3 linked regions of the Drosophila melanogaster genome follow. The protein of the gene in region 3 purifies or fractionates together with the protein of the main gene of each other region. This does not show direct contact. Each region holds a gene or a part of one and is shown on either strand. Other genes may lie near its edges.

Region 1 (3,626 bases), about 10 Mb from region 3:
CAGATCTTCTTGCGCATCGGGTGATTGCAAAAGGAGCATTTTTTCTTCAATACGTTTGCTGTGTAGAAACAAAAAGTATTAGGGCAAAATCGCTTGTAAATTAATTGTACCACTCACATGGGATAAAGCAGCAAGTGTATGTTCGCAAATATCTCATTAAGTTTAAACTTTTTGCTGCGTAAGTACTCCAGACACTGCTTCACGTGCAGCAATGGTATATGGCACCAGTTGGGATGGCGAGAGAGAAGATTGCGCAGCACTTGCACGTCCTTCCCCAAAACATTACTCAAGTAGACGACTATATCGCGGCCTTTAGTACGATCTGAGCCATCTCTGGCAAATCTGGAACATGGTTATTTGATTAGTCAGTCAATAAGCTGATAAGATTCTTACTTAGCGAACGCCTCGGACCCACAAGAAAGGATGTGCAAGGAGGCGCACCGAACCCGCAGTTGATTGAGATAATCCAGACGCAGTCGCGCCTTGTTCTGGTAGTGGACCAGTCTCAGGATTCGCGGATTGGTACCCAAGACTTGAAACTCCTCGATCTCCTGCAGATCCCTTAGTCGCTCCAGAACCGTATCCGGTCCAAGGGTGAGCACTTCCAGGCAGCGGAGAACGGCATCCTCACTGATGCCGAAAGCGTGGACGTGCTGCAGTGTTTGCTTCAAGCTATCGCAGGTGGACATCAAAATCTTGGGTCTGCGAAAGCCGATTTCTCGTATGTCCTGCGAGTCAATGGTAGGCACCTCTCGCAGGATGCGCCGCACGTTATCTGCTTCCGAATAGAGCAGAAAACTGTTCTTCCTTAGCCGCTCGGCGGAAAAATTAAACTCTTTGGTCAGCAGTTCAATGGTGTCCTGCACTGCTCGAAAACTCTTGTGGCGGATGCGCGTGTAAACGCGCCACAGCTTCTGTAGATCGTTGTCGTCCATCTGGAGACGTTCACGCAGGTAAGCGTTGATCAGGGATTGTCTCAAGCTCTTCAGTGTGAGGGTCTCACTCTCCAGCTCCCGTAAATCCACCGGCAGCTTGATATCCTTAAAATATCCCGCCAGACGCTCCGCCACCTTCACATCGAAGGGGATGTAATTATGTGCCTTCAAGACTTCTATCGGCTTGTTGACCACCGTCACATACTTGGCCAGCGTTTGGACAGTCACGTTGTGGAAGCCGCACTCCTGCAAGACACTGTGGCGATTGGCCAAAGTGGTGGCGCCATAATAGATGATCATGGGTTTCGCTATGATGTCGTCCACACTATAGTCCAGTGATTTCAAAGTGTCGTAGGAGCTTAGCAAGTCCTTGCGCTTTAACGTCTTGAGCTCTGGGTGCTTCTCTAAGGCTGCCGCCCAAGAACGATAGGAACTACCTATAAAGACGCAATAGTGACTCCCTAAATCAACTTTAAAGCCTTAGCTTACCCAGAGTTTTGGACAAATAGCTGGCATTCAGCGGCTCTTCCATCGGAATCTCGACTGTCGGTGGCTTTGGCAGTTTTGGCTTGAGATCCTCCTTCTTACTGCTGACCCGTTTCGAACTGGCCATTCCCCGCGCCAGCTGTCCAAGGCTCCGGGCCAGCAATTGCGCTTGATTCTGGCCGTTGCGCAGCATAATTATAACATTTCCCGCAGATTTATTTACAAACGGCAAAGAAACGTAACTGTTATCGGGGTGAATGACAACTGTTGCAGCTAGTGATGGGAGCACATATATACAAAGGGAAAAAATCAAAATATAATAATATAATATAATTTATATTATATATTTAATATTTCTAATATTATTTTGTTCAATGTTTGAGTTGCAAAAAGGCTTTGAGTGTGCAGAAAATGTATTCTCCCTTGATCTTGTGGTAGGTAATCAACTATCGATACGGCCGGCAAATCAATTTCATCGATACGACGACGGTTGTTTTCACATCCCTAACCCCGCAGCGTTGTTACACGTGCGCGTGAATTATAGTTTATTTGACTTGGTTTTTATTTCAAAACATTTAAATATGTCGCTTTTACGCATCAGGTAAGCATTGGAGATGAAGCCCATGAAATGCAAATGAAATCAAACCAACTGCGCTTCCAGGAAACCAAAAACCCGCAAGGGAAAGAAGGTGTTGCTGGCCAGGGAGCCGCAACTCATTGAATCCGCCCGCACAATGCTGTTTTTGGACGGAAGGAAGTGCGGCGGCAATGTGAAGCTGTGCATGAAGGACCTGCAGGCGCTGAAGAAGCCGCTGGTTAAAGTGCTGAACCGCAAAAACGACATTACCCCCTTTGACGATCCCTCATCTCTGGAGTTGTAAGTTTGGACAAAGCAAACAACTAAAATGTAGTGTATTTAATTGTAAACATCATTCGAATCACCAGCTTGACCATGAAGAACGATGCTGCTTTGTTCACGTTCGGTTCCACGTCCAAGAAGCGACCCGATAACATTATACTGGGCAGGATCTTCGAGAACGAGGTGCTGGACATGTTTGAACTGGGCATCAAGCGGTATCAGGCGATTTCCGAGTTTAAGAACGAGAAAATCGGAGCCTGCGTCAAGCCCTGCCTGGTGTTCAATGGTCCGAAATGGGCACAGACCGAGGAACTGAGGCGCCTTCGCAACCTGTTCATCGACACCTTCCAGCGCGAGAAGGTGGATTCGATCCGGCTGCAGGGCATCGAACACGTTCTGAGTTTCACGGTTACCGATGACATGAACATACTGATGCGTTCCTACCGGATACTGCTGAAGAAATCTGGCCAGAGGACGCCGCGCATAGAGCTTGAAGAGATCGGACCCTCGGCCGACTTCTCCATTCGCCGCACCAAGATCGCCAGCGAGGATCTGTACAAACAGGCACGCAAACAGCCCAAGCAGTTGAAGGTGGGCAAGAAGAAGAACATTAGCACAGACGCCCTGGGCAACACCAAGGGACGTGTCCATCTGGGCAAGCAGCAAACGGGCTCCATTCAAACGCGTCGCGTCAAGGCGCTGCGTAAGACGCCGGAGGAGAAGAAGGAGAACCGACAGCGCAAGAAGGTTGCTCTGAAGGCGGCCGCCGCCGAAGCACTGGCCTCACAAGGAAACAATCCCTTCTCTAGTTAATTTTAGTTGTAATAAATTGGTCCTGATTAAATTAGCTTTAACAAGTGTATGAGTTCTGGAGTCGTATCAGTGTATTCCGTCGACAATATTGCGAATGCGCCGCGTCTTGGACTCGGCCAACGCGTCCTCCAGCGTTTTGATCATGTGCACCAGACTGCAGACATCCGTCTGCACTAGCAAATCCTTTCGATGCAGCCGCTCGTCCTCCTGCATGGCCTTCAGCTCCTGTTCGCTGCGCCCGGAGATGTCCACCGCCAGCAGCTCTCGGTTTTCATTCTTCGGTTCGGTGTGCAGATATAGCTTCATAGTCACCACCACCTGACACTGATCCAGCAGGCTCCGCGACGCGGTGCGCACCTCCAGTCGCCAGTCCAGGTTGACCAGCCGATAGGCACGTATGTTGGCCGACTTGATTGAGCCCTCCACAAAGTTTCGTTTGCTGGTGACGAACTGCTCGAGAACTTCTATCACATCGTCGCCGAGTTCGGGGAATGTCTGGCGCAGTATGGCCTCCATGTCGACGGAACTGCTCC
Region 2 (3,652 bases), about 19 Mb from region 3:
GTGGGCTAATCCGTCGCCATGTAAAGTGTACACCTGATTTATCTCTTGGGCTTAGCAACGAAAATTTAAGCCCACTCATTAGTTTTTGTTGTATTACGATGCAATAAGATGAAATGCAGAGTAGATTGACGGAAAGGAGAACAGGAAAACCAGAGAAGTGCACAGGAAGAAGCGAATTCTGATGAAGATTGGTTTGCTGAAAATAGCTTATTTTTATATCATATTTTAGTCGAATATCCATGGTTAATGCCACAATGATTATAGCGGGCTCATATTTGGTATATGTACAAGTACATATGTAAACAATATATAATTTTGTGTGCGGACGACTACATCGTGTAGCTGCCATAGGAACATTTGGAAAATTATTATAAATAATGGAAAATGAAAACTTTCTTGCGTTTATTAAAGTTATTAAGTTACTCTAAGAAGCTCTTTAACTTACAATTGTCGTTTATTTTTTTTATACAAATACAAAAATTAAAACAATCATGAAGTTTCGACATTCGTTGAATTGAAATCCTGATGTGCGTTTGCCATTTATGGTAAATCCATTTTGAAGACAATATCCTTTAGGATTTACTTCTTGTCCTTGGCCTGCAGCTTTGAGTGGATCATGTCCTTAAACTGCGACAGAATCTTGTTTTCGCGCTTCTGTCGCTCCTCCTTGCTGAACATGGCCAGTGCTCGCTTCTCGTCGGCGGAGTACAGCTGGTTCTCCTTGCGGATACGGACGGCCTCCATGCGACGATGCCTGCTGCCGCTCATCACATAGCCCACGGACTCGAAATTGGCGATTTCATCGGATGTTAGGCCGATTTCACCACGGCGAGGAATTCTCTTGCCCTCGGCAATGTAGGCAGCCATGGCGGCACCTTCTCCTGGCAGCAAGGCCTTGCCGAAGTCCTTTTGATTAAGACTACCGCCGGGTCGCAGCGAAGGTCCAACGTCCTCGTCGTTGTGCGAGGCACTTTCCTTGTTCTTCGACTTGCTGGCACTGGAGGAGGAGCTCTTCTTGGACTTTTCCGCCTCTGACTTACGCTTCTTCTTCTTCTTTTTAGACTTTTTGTCCTTTTTGCTAGTGGAGGACTTCTTCTTTTTAGGCTTCTTGATACCGTCGGCTGTCTTTTCCAGCCAAACATCTTCCTCCTCGGACTCATCTTCGCTGTCAGAACTGGAACTGGAACTTGAGCTGCTGGACTCGTCGCTACTGTCTTCGCTGCTTGAAGAACTGGAGGAGGAACTCGACTCTTGTTTGCTCTTTTTCTTTTTGGATTTCTTTGACTTTTTCTTCGACTTCTTTTCAGATTTCTTGTGCTTTCTCTTGCCCTTTTTCTTTTTCTTCTTGGGTCCTATGTAAGAACCCTTCACCAGCTCCACATCGTCGGTTTCTGGCCGGGAAGGGCTCTTGCCCCAGACCTCTGGCACGCCTTCCTCGCCGATGAGAACTCTCTGGTTTCTGCGGGCATTCACAGCCTTGGAGTCACCTTTGAATTGGTGGTTAGACGATCCTCTACCTCTGTGCTGCGACCTGAACGATGGTTCGGCGGGATCATTAATGAAACTACCCTCGGGAGCCCTTCCCCGGAAGGGATTCTGCCGCCTATCGTTGTTTTCATGATAACGATCGTTGGGCCAGCGTTCCACGGATTTTGGGCGGGATTTGCGGCTTCTGGACGGGCTTCTCGAGGAACTGGATCTATCACTGCTGCTGCTGCTGGAGCTTCTGGAGGGCGAGGAGCGCGTTCTACGGCGGCGAGGCACTGCATCCTTTTCTCTGGAGCGACGTGAGCTGCGATTGGAAGTCCTTTCCCTGTGGAGCTCCCTATCCCTTTCTCTTTTCCTCTCCCGCGAAACCGATCTCCTATGCTGCGGTTTCTGGTAAGTCCTTCTTTCCGAGCGGGATCGAGCCCTAGAATCGGACCGGCGACGTTCCCTTTGCCTGCTGCGACTCCTGCTGCGTGAACGCATGTGGAAAATACAAGTTTTTAACAATTTCACCGGAAAATGCAAAACAAACGTTTGTCGCTATTGGTGAGCAGACTCGATAGCCTACCCAATCGATAGTAGCCGCTCATCGATAGGCAACAGCTGATTGAGTGATTTTAGCTGCAGAAGGTCACATCAAAACGAACTTTGCAAATTCGCTCGCCAAAATAAAGTTTATTATCGCCAAAAATGCTGTAATTTAAATATAACATAAAATATAGGAAAGCTACCACTTGCTAAAAATGACACGCATTACTTGGAGAGGTCACTCCACTCAGGAGTTGCTGTAAGCTTTGAAATATCCCGCTGCACAAATGTATCACTAATTTGCAATGTTTTCGTTTATTGTTTACTTATTTAACAGATCGATTTTGCGGCTTCGTTGGTCATATATGAAGCACTGCTGGCACTCCTTAACTTTCAACGCCCACATGAACTCCTCCTACGCCTCGGACGTCTGCCTGACCCCTATTTTTTGGTTTGTGGACAACTATACTCACTGCCTAGGACCGGTAACACTATGCAACATAACATTTGTTGTTCGTATGATTAAGCGTTTTAAACTTGTTTAGTTTTTTGTGGTTGGCGTGGCTGCCTTGACGACTTCAGTCGTTAGTATTGCCTATTGGATTGGCTTGCCCTTTTGGTGGGCCAAAAGTCAGTTGGTGACCTACTTCCTCCTCATTGTGGGCAACTGGCTGCTGCTCAATGTGGTTTTCCACTACGTTATGGCTGTGATCACGCCGGCTGGTCATCCGCCAGAGGGCGTGTCCCTGGTAGAAGCGGTTAGCATGTGCGGCAAGTGCATAGCTCCCAAACCACCGAGGACTCATCACTGCTCCATCTGCAATCGCTGCATACTTAAGATGGATCACCATTGTCGTGAGTACCTTAAGATTTCTAAAGGGTTCCTACATTAATTTTCATATATCCCATATATAGCTTGGCTCAACAATTGCGTGGGTTATGGTAATCATCGGTACTTCTTCCTCTACATGACGTACACCACTCTGGGTTGTCTGTTTCTTATTTTGTTTGGCTTGGAGATTGGCCACAAATACCTGTGGCTGGATCATGGTGAAAACTGGACGGAAATTGAGCCCTTGGAGGGGCAGCCAGTCAAGTTTAACCTCAGTGGACACATCATTCCAGTGGTAAGCCAGTAAACTAACTTGTGCTACTTTCTTTATTTCATCTTTCTTTCTCTCTGAACTTCAGACACATCCGAATGAGTATGATGAATTTGTGCTGCCTCCAGCCGTGCACAATCTTCCAACACCCATTGTGGACACAGATGCCGCTTCGCCCGGTCGACGACGAGCGCTTTGGTTCATGGCGTTCACAAACGTTGCCGTGGTCTTGGCTCTCGGTAGCCTCTCCATCTGGCACGCCAAGCTAATCACTCGTGGCGAGACCAGTGTGGAGGCTCACATCAACGAAGCTGAGCGAAAACGGCACCTCCAGCAACAACGCATTTATATTAATCCTTATAACTTTGGCACCAAAAAGAACTGGAAGCTGTTCTTGGGTCTGGTGCGGGGCAGATCCTTTTGGCGAACTGTGCTGCTTCCCTCCTGGCACAAACCCGAAGGTACTGGGCTGAGTTTCCACACGGTAAATGATGCTCCCTTCGAGGACGAGTGGCCATAATTCCAACATAGAA
Region 3 (4,055 bases):
TCAGAGTCACTTGACCAGCAACCATTTGGCCCGCGTAAAAAACCCCTTGCGTGTTGTTGTGAAAAAGAATTTGGCAAATTATTCCCATGGTTTTTTATGGTTAAAGCACAAGTTTTAATGAATTTAAGTCTGTCGTTAATTGTTAAGATGTTTTCCCTTCAATTGCCGCAATCAAACTGAACTAAAAAGTTTCTTACCACTTATTTTGTGCAACGGAGAGCTTTTGGTAATTTATCTTATCAGTACACCCATAAATCTATTTATTGGTAAACCCAAAAACCCCCTACAATTTTTTTATACAATAAATAGATCATTCGTAACCAGCTAACATGAGAACTGAATTATCAGGTCCAAAAACAGCTGATACTTATATTTGTGGTGTAAAAACAAGTGCCCCCAAATGAGTTGAGGCTCTCGCATCTGAAGATAGCAATTTCACTCAAATAAATATATTAACTCATCGATAAGATATCGCACAACTCAGCAAATATTGCTCACTGAGGTCGACGAAAAGTTCCCGCAGTTTGCGTTCAACCACAGGGTAATTGTCATGTCTGTTGTATTTCGATTACTTATTAATTATTTACAGAGTGGGTACATTCATTTTTAAGCCCTTCTAAAGCCAAGTGCTTTTTTCTACACCTTCATTGACATAGCCGCCATCAGTCTTGGGTTCATTTGCTCTCAAAGTCATTTCGTCCACTTGGTTTGACAAATCAAAGACTGCGTATAAGGGTGAAAACACAATTGTTTCAGCTTTCCTCTCTTGTGATCCTTTTACACCTCTTTTCTGAGACTTTTTCTTCGATTTCGAGAACTTGTGCGGATCCGGGGAGATGTGTTTAGCCTCAGCATAACTCGGCGGTGCTAAAATAAATAAGTGATTCCTTGAATTATGATCTTTAAATTCGAATATGGAGTTTTGTATGAATTTCCTTAAAGCTCCTATTTTACTCACCAATTGAAGGATCCGCAGCCCAAGGATTGGGGCTTCCGAGTGCTTCTCCATTCTGTTCGCTGCCAATTAAAATCAAAGCCTTCGCATCTAGCTGCTGGGGTGGCAGAACTTCACCCCAAGTCCTTGGTTCTTTTTGGAGTTGCTTCGTTAGCGGGACACTTCCAATAGTTATGGGCATGTGAAGGGACTGGCCGCCATGACAACCTTTAACTCTGGCCTCCGCTTCCACCTGATAGCCGATCTGAATGATGCTGCATAGATTAAAGCAGGTTGGCGGAGTTGGCGGCACCTTAAGATCGAAGGTAAACTGCTGCCGGCATTTGGTCGACACACCTCCGCCTGTTTTCAGGACCATCTCAAAACGGTCCTTGTTGGTGTCCGCGGACGGGGGTTGACTGTAGTAAATCACCACCATAGTCAGTTTTACGGTTATGTCCTCCACGGCTACACCACTGTCATTGGAGACCATCACCTCCACCGGCACGATCTGTCCTGGCACAAAGCCACTCTGTGGAACAGAAAGTCGCATACTGAGTGGCGACGAGCGGCAGGGAAAACAGCAGAAAGTTCGCTGGGACTCCACTTGACTAGGTACCTAAAATTTATAAAATATAAAAATATAAAATTTTATACTTGACCATGGTACAACCAAAGACACTAGAATTAGACATTATTCTAATGTCTTTGGTACAACACATGGTACAGTGGACTATTCCATAGTGTGTGGAGAGACTAAGAAACATACCCTCAGCATTAGGCTTTCGGAGTTCAGGTCCATCACTTTGATCACAGTGAAGCATCGATTAAAGTTCAGATCGAACTTCCACGGACGCACGAACCTCACGTTCACCAGATAACGTATCCGACCTAGTGTCCCCTCGAAAGAAGAGGGACATGTGATGGGCAACTGACAGGCGAATCTATACGAGCTGGTGCCAGGCTCAATAAGCACCTCTGAAATGGAGCTTTGATTTCATTATCTCTAGATTTATGGTGATTTATCATCTTCGAACATACCTATGCTGGAACTAGACCCGTGCAGATAAGCCCTAGTGGCCAAGTAGTCCACATGTCCGTTGAATGATTCACCATTCGACTGATCATCCGGATCGTGTTCGGTATCCGCCCAGTGGGTTTCGGCATATCCCTTGATGTTAAGGATTACAGCTGAAGTAAAAATAAAAGCTATTTTAAGCCCCTGCAACACTTGCACTTCAAATCAATTAAGTCTTTTAGCAAGTAACGTTTGTTTTGAGTAGAGCAAAATGAATCAGCGCCTTACCTTTCACTGACTTTTCCTTCTCAGTTTTAATGACCACCTGTCCTGAAATCAACTGGCCTGCATAAAAAATTCCTTGGGAATTATTGCAGAACTCAATCTCACAGATTACCATTGTGCGGAATAATTTGTATGATAATCCGGGAGCTGTTTAACTTTTGCCCTGTCTGTGTCGTGGCTCCCAACAAACTGAAGTCACCCGCTGCGGCTATTTTTATTTTATTTTTTGTGCAGCATTTATTTGGCCAACATTTTTATTTTATCTTATCAATGCGATAGGTATCTCAGTATTTAAACACAAATTTTTACCATTGCTATCGGAGTATTTACATATGTAAGTGACAGCAATTTGAGAAGTACGAAATTGGCAGGCAGAACTGATCGATGAGGGCCAGTTTTCCCAAGGTTGAGATAGCGATGATAGGGCGTTGTACCAATAAAGAAATAGAGGATAATGGAGTCCCTGATTTATCGCATAAGTTGTTAATAAATTAATGAAGGAATTTCTCTCAACTGGCCGCGTTGCCAACTATCCAGATAGACAAATATTGCAGTGGGTTTTGTACTGAGTTGAGCCGATAAGATAATGCCAGCCGACGGTAAAACTGAAAATGAGAGTCCAGGCCATGTTAGCAATACAGTTGGCCCAGTTCGTGTTTAGCAGCGGGCGCGTTAGGATCGCTCGCAAATCTAAAAGCTCTGGAGAGGCATAAGCCCATTACCTATTCGCCAACATGTCGAAGAACTGCATGATAACGTTCGACCAGAATGAGCACGGCACCTACTTCACCGGCCAGGTGATAACCGGCAAGGTGATTGTCAATCTGAACAAGACCAAGAAACTGCGAGGTAAGTAAGACCAACTAGGATACCCCAACAGTACGGAAACTAGTGGGGGCTTTCGCTTATCGAGCGCGGCGTATCTTATCGCTTCGGATAATGTCAGGTTTGGCAAAAGCAAAAGATTCAACAAACCATTGAAATGGGTAATTAAGTGATAACTATGCGGACACTCCAAATGTGCGATAATTGATGATTCCTGGAGCCGAAGGGGAGCGATAACAACCTTACTTATAGTTGGGGATCTACCCAACGAATTATATTTTCTTTCGAGGAAATACCAGGGAACTTACTCACGGTTTTCGTCTGGGCTTTGCAGTGATATGGACAACAAGTTTTGTTGATTCTTCGAAATATATGTTTTCTACTTCTATTTAAAAAAAAAAAGGTTAATTTTTGTCTTTAAGTTATTTCATTTCCATTTTGCATCTGCGTGCTTGCAGCCCAAATCAAATATTTAAACAATTTGAATAATTTTATAGTGTGCGTCAACAGTTTCCGTATTAGTTAAATTTAAAATGCCCCTAAGACGCTTTTATTAACTGTTTTTGGAAATGTCTTTCAGTGCTTCTCGCTTTTGTTTTATCTTATCCTAATATTACCCCTACCTTATGAGGTAACCCAAAGAGATAAACAAAGTGAGCTAGTTTTATTAGGAAGCCCGTTGTATTTTTTTTTAACTTTTTTATTAAGGTACTGATTTCTTTGTCTATATTATAGCCTATATTATAGTATTATTATGGAAATATTATAAATGTTAGTCAGCACATCTCATATTTCTCTGTTAAGAAGTCATGTTATTGAAGATCTACATATTCTAATATTTCTTGTCTTTTAGGAATAAAACTGCAAATAAGTGGCTATGCGCAAGCCCAGTGGCGCATCCGCAGACATGGTAAGGCGGTGGCAATCCAAAACCCCAAGAAGCGATCAAAGCACCAGTACAGCGGGCGGGAGGACTATATAGCCTCCACCACT

Evidence for each region. Proteins that work in one complex are often made in the same cells at the same time.
Region 1: the proteins of CG18746 (region 3) and Non3 purify together in Drosophila melanogaster (affinity purification with mass spectrometry, with the first as the bait; one large-scale study listed by BioGRID). This does not show direct contact.
Region 2: the proteins of CG18746 (region 3) and CG6066 purify together in Drosophila melanogaster (affinity purification with mass spectrometry, with the first as the bait; one large-scale study listed by BioGRID). This does not show direct contact.

Annotation. Positions count from the first base shown.
Region 1 is NT_033777.3:18,221,817-18,225,442, forward strand, and holds Non3 (putative nucleolar protein 3), read left to right. Parts: upstream 1-1,905; 5' UTR 1,906-2,002; coding exon 2,003-2,022; intron 2,023-2,082; coding exon 2,083-2,298; intron 2,299-2,366; coding exon 2,367-3,093; 3' UTR 3,094-3,126; downstream 3,127-3,626. Other genes in the region: mTerf5 (mitochondrial transcription termination factor 5), read right to left, coding at 1-58, 118-342, 394-1,372, 1,425-1,614; CG7168 (uncharacterized protein), read right to left, coding at 3,160-3,626. UniProt on the Drosophila melanogaster protein: Required for normal assembly of the mitotic spindle. May be involved in both centrosome-dependent and centrosome-independent spindle assembly programs.
Region 2 is NT_033777.3:27,114,652-27,118,303, forward strand, and holds CG6066 (uncharacterized protein), read right to left. Parts: upstream 2,057-3,652; 5' UTR 1,972-2,056; coding exon 580-1,971; 3' UTR 501-579; downstream 1-500. Other genes in the region: CG5880 (uncharacterized protein), read left to right, coding at 2,232-2,275, 2,354-2,501, 2,562-2,871, 2,932-3,143, 3,208-3,639. UniProt on the Drosophila melanogaster protein: Tumor suppressor involved in maintaining genome integrity. Influences gene expression and mRNA splicing.
Region 3 is NT_033777.3:7,787,756-7,791,810, forward strand, and holds CG18746 (uncharacterized protein), read right to left. Parts: upstream 2,433-4,055; 5' UTR 2,353-2,432; coding exon 2,241-2,352; intron 2,126-2,240; coding exon 1,976-2,125; intron 1,913-1,975; coding exon 1,704-1,912; intron 1,554-1,703; coding exon 959-1,553; intron 868-958; coding exon 617-867; 3' UTR 527-616; downstream 1-526. Other genes in the region: CG18748 (uncharacterized protein), read right to left, coding at 1-88; CG10086 (uncharacterized protein), read left to right, coding at 2,972-3,086, 3,916-4,055.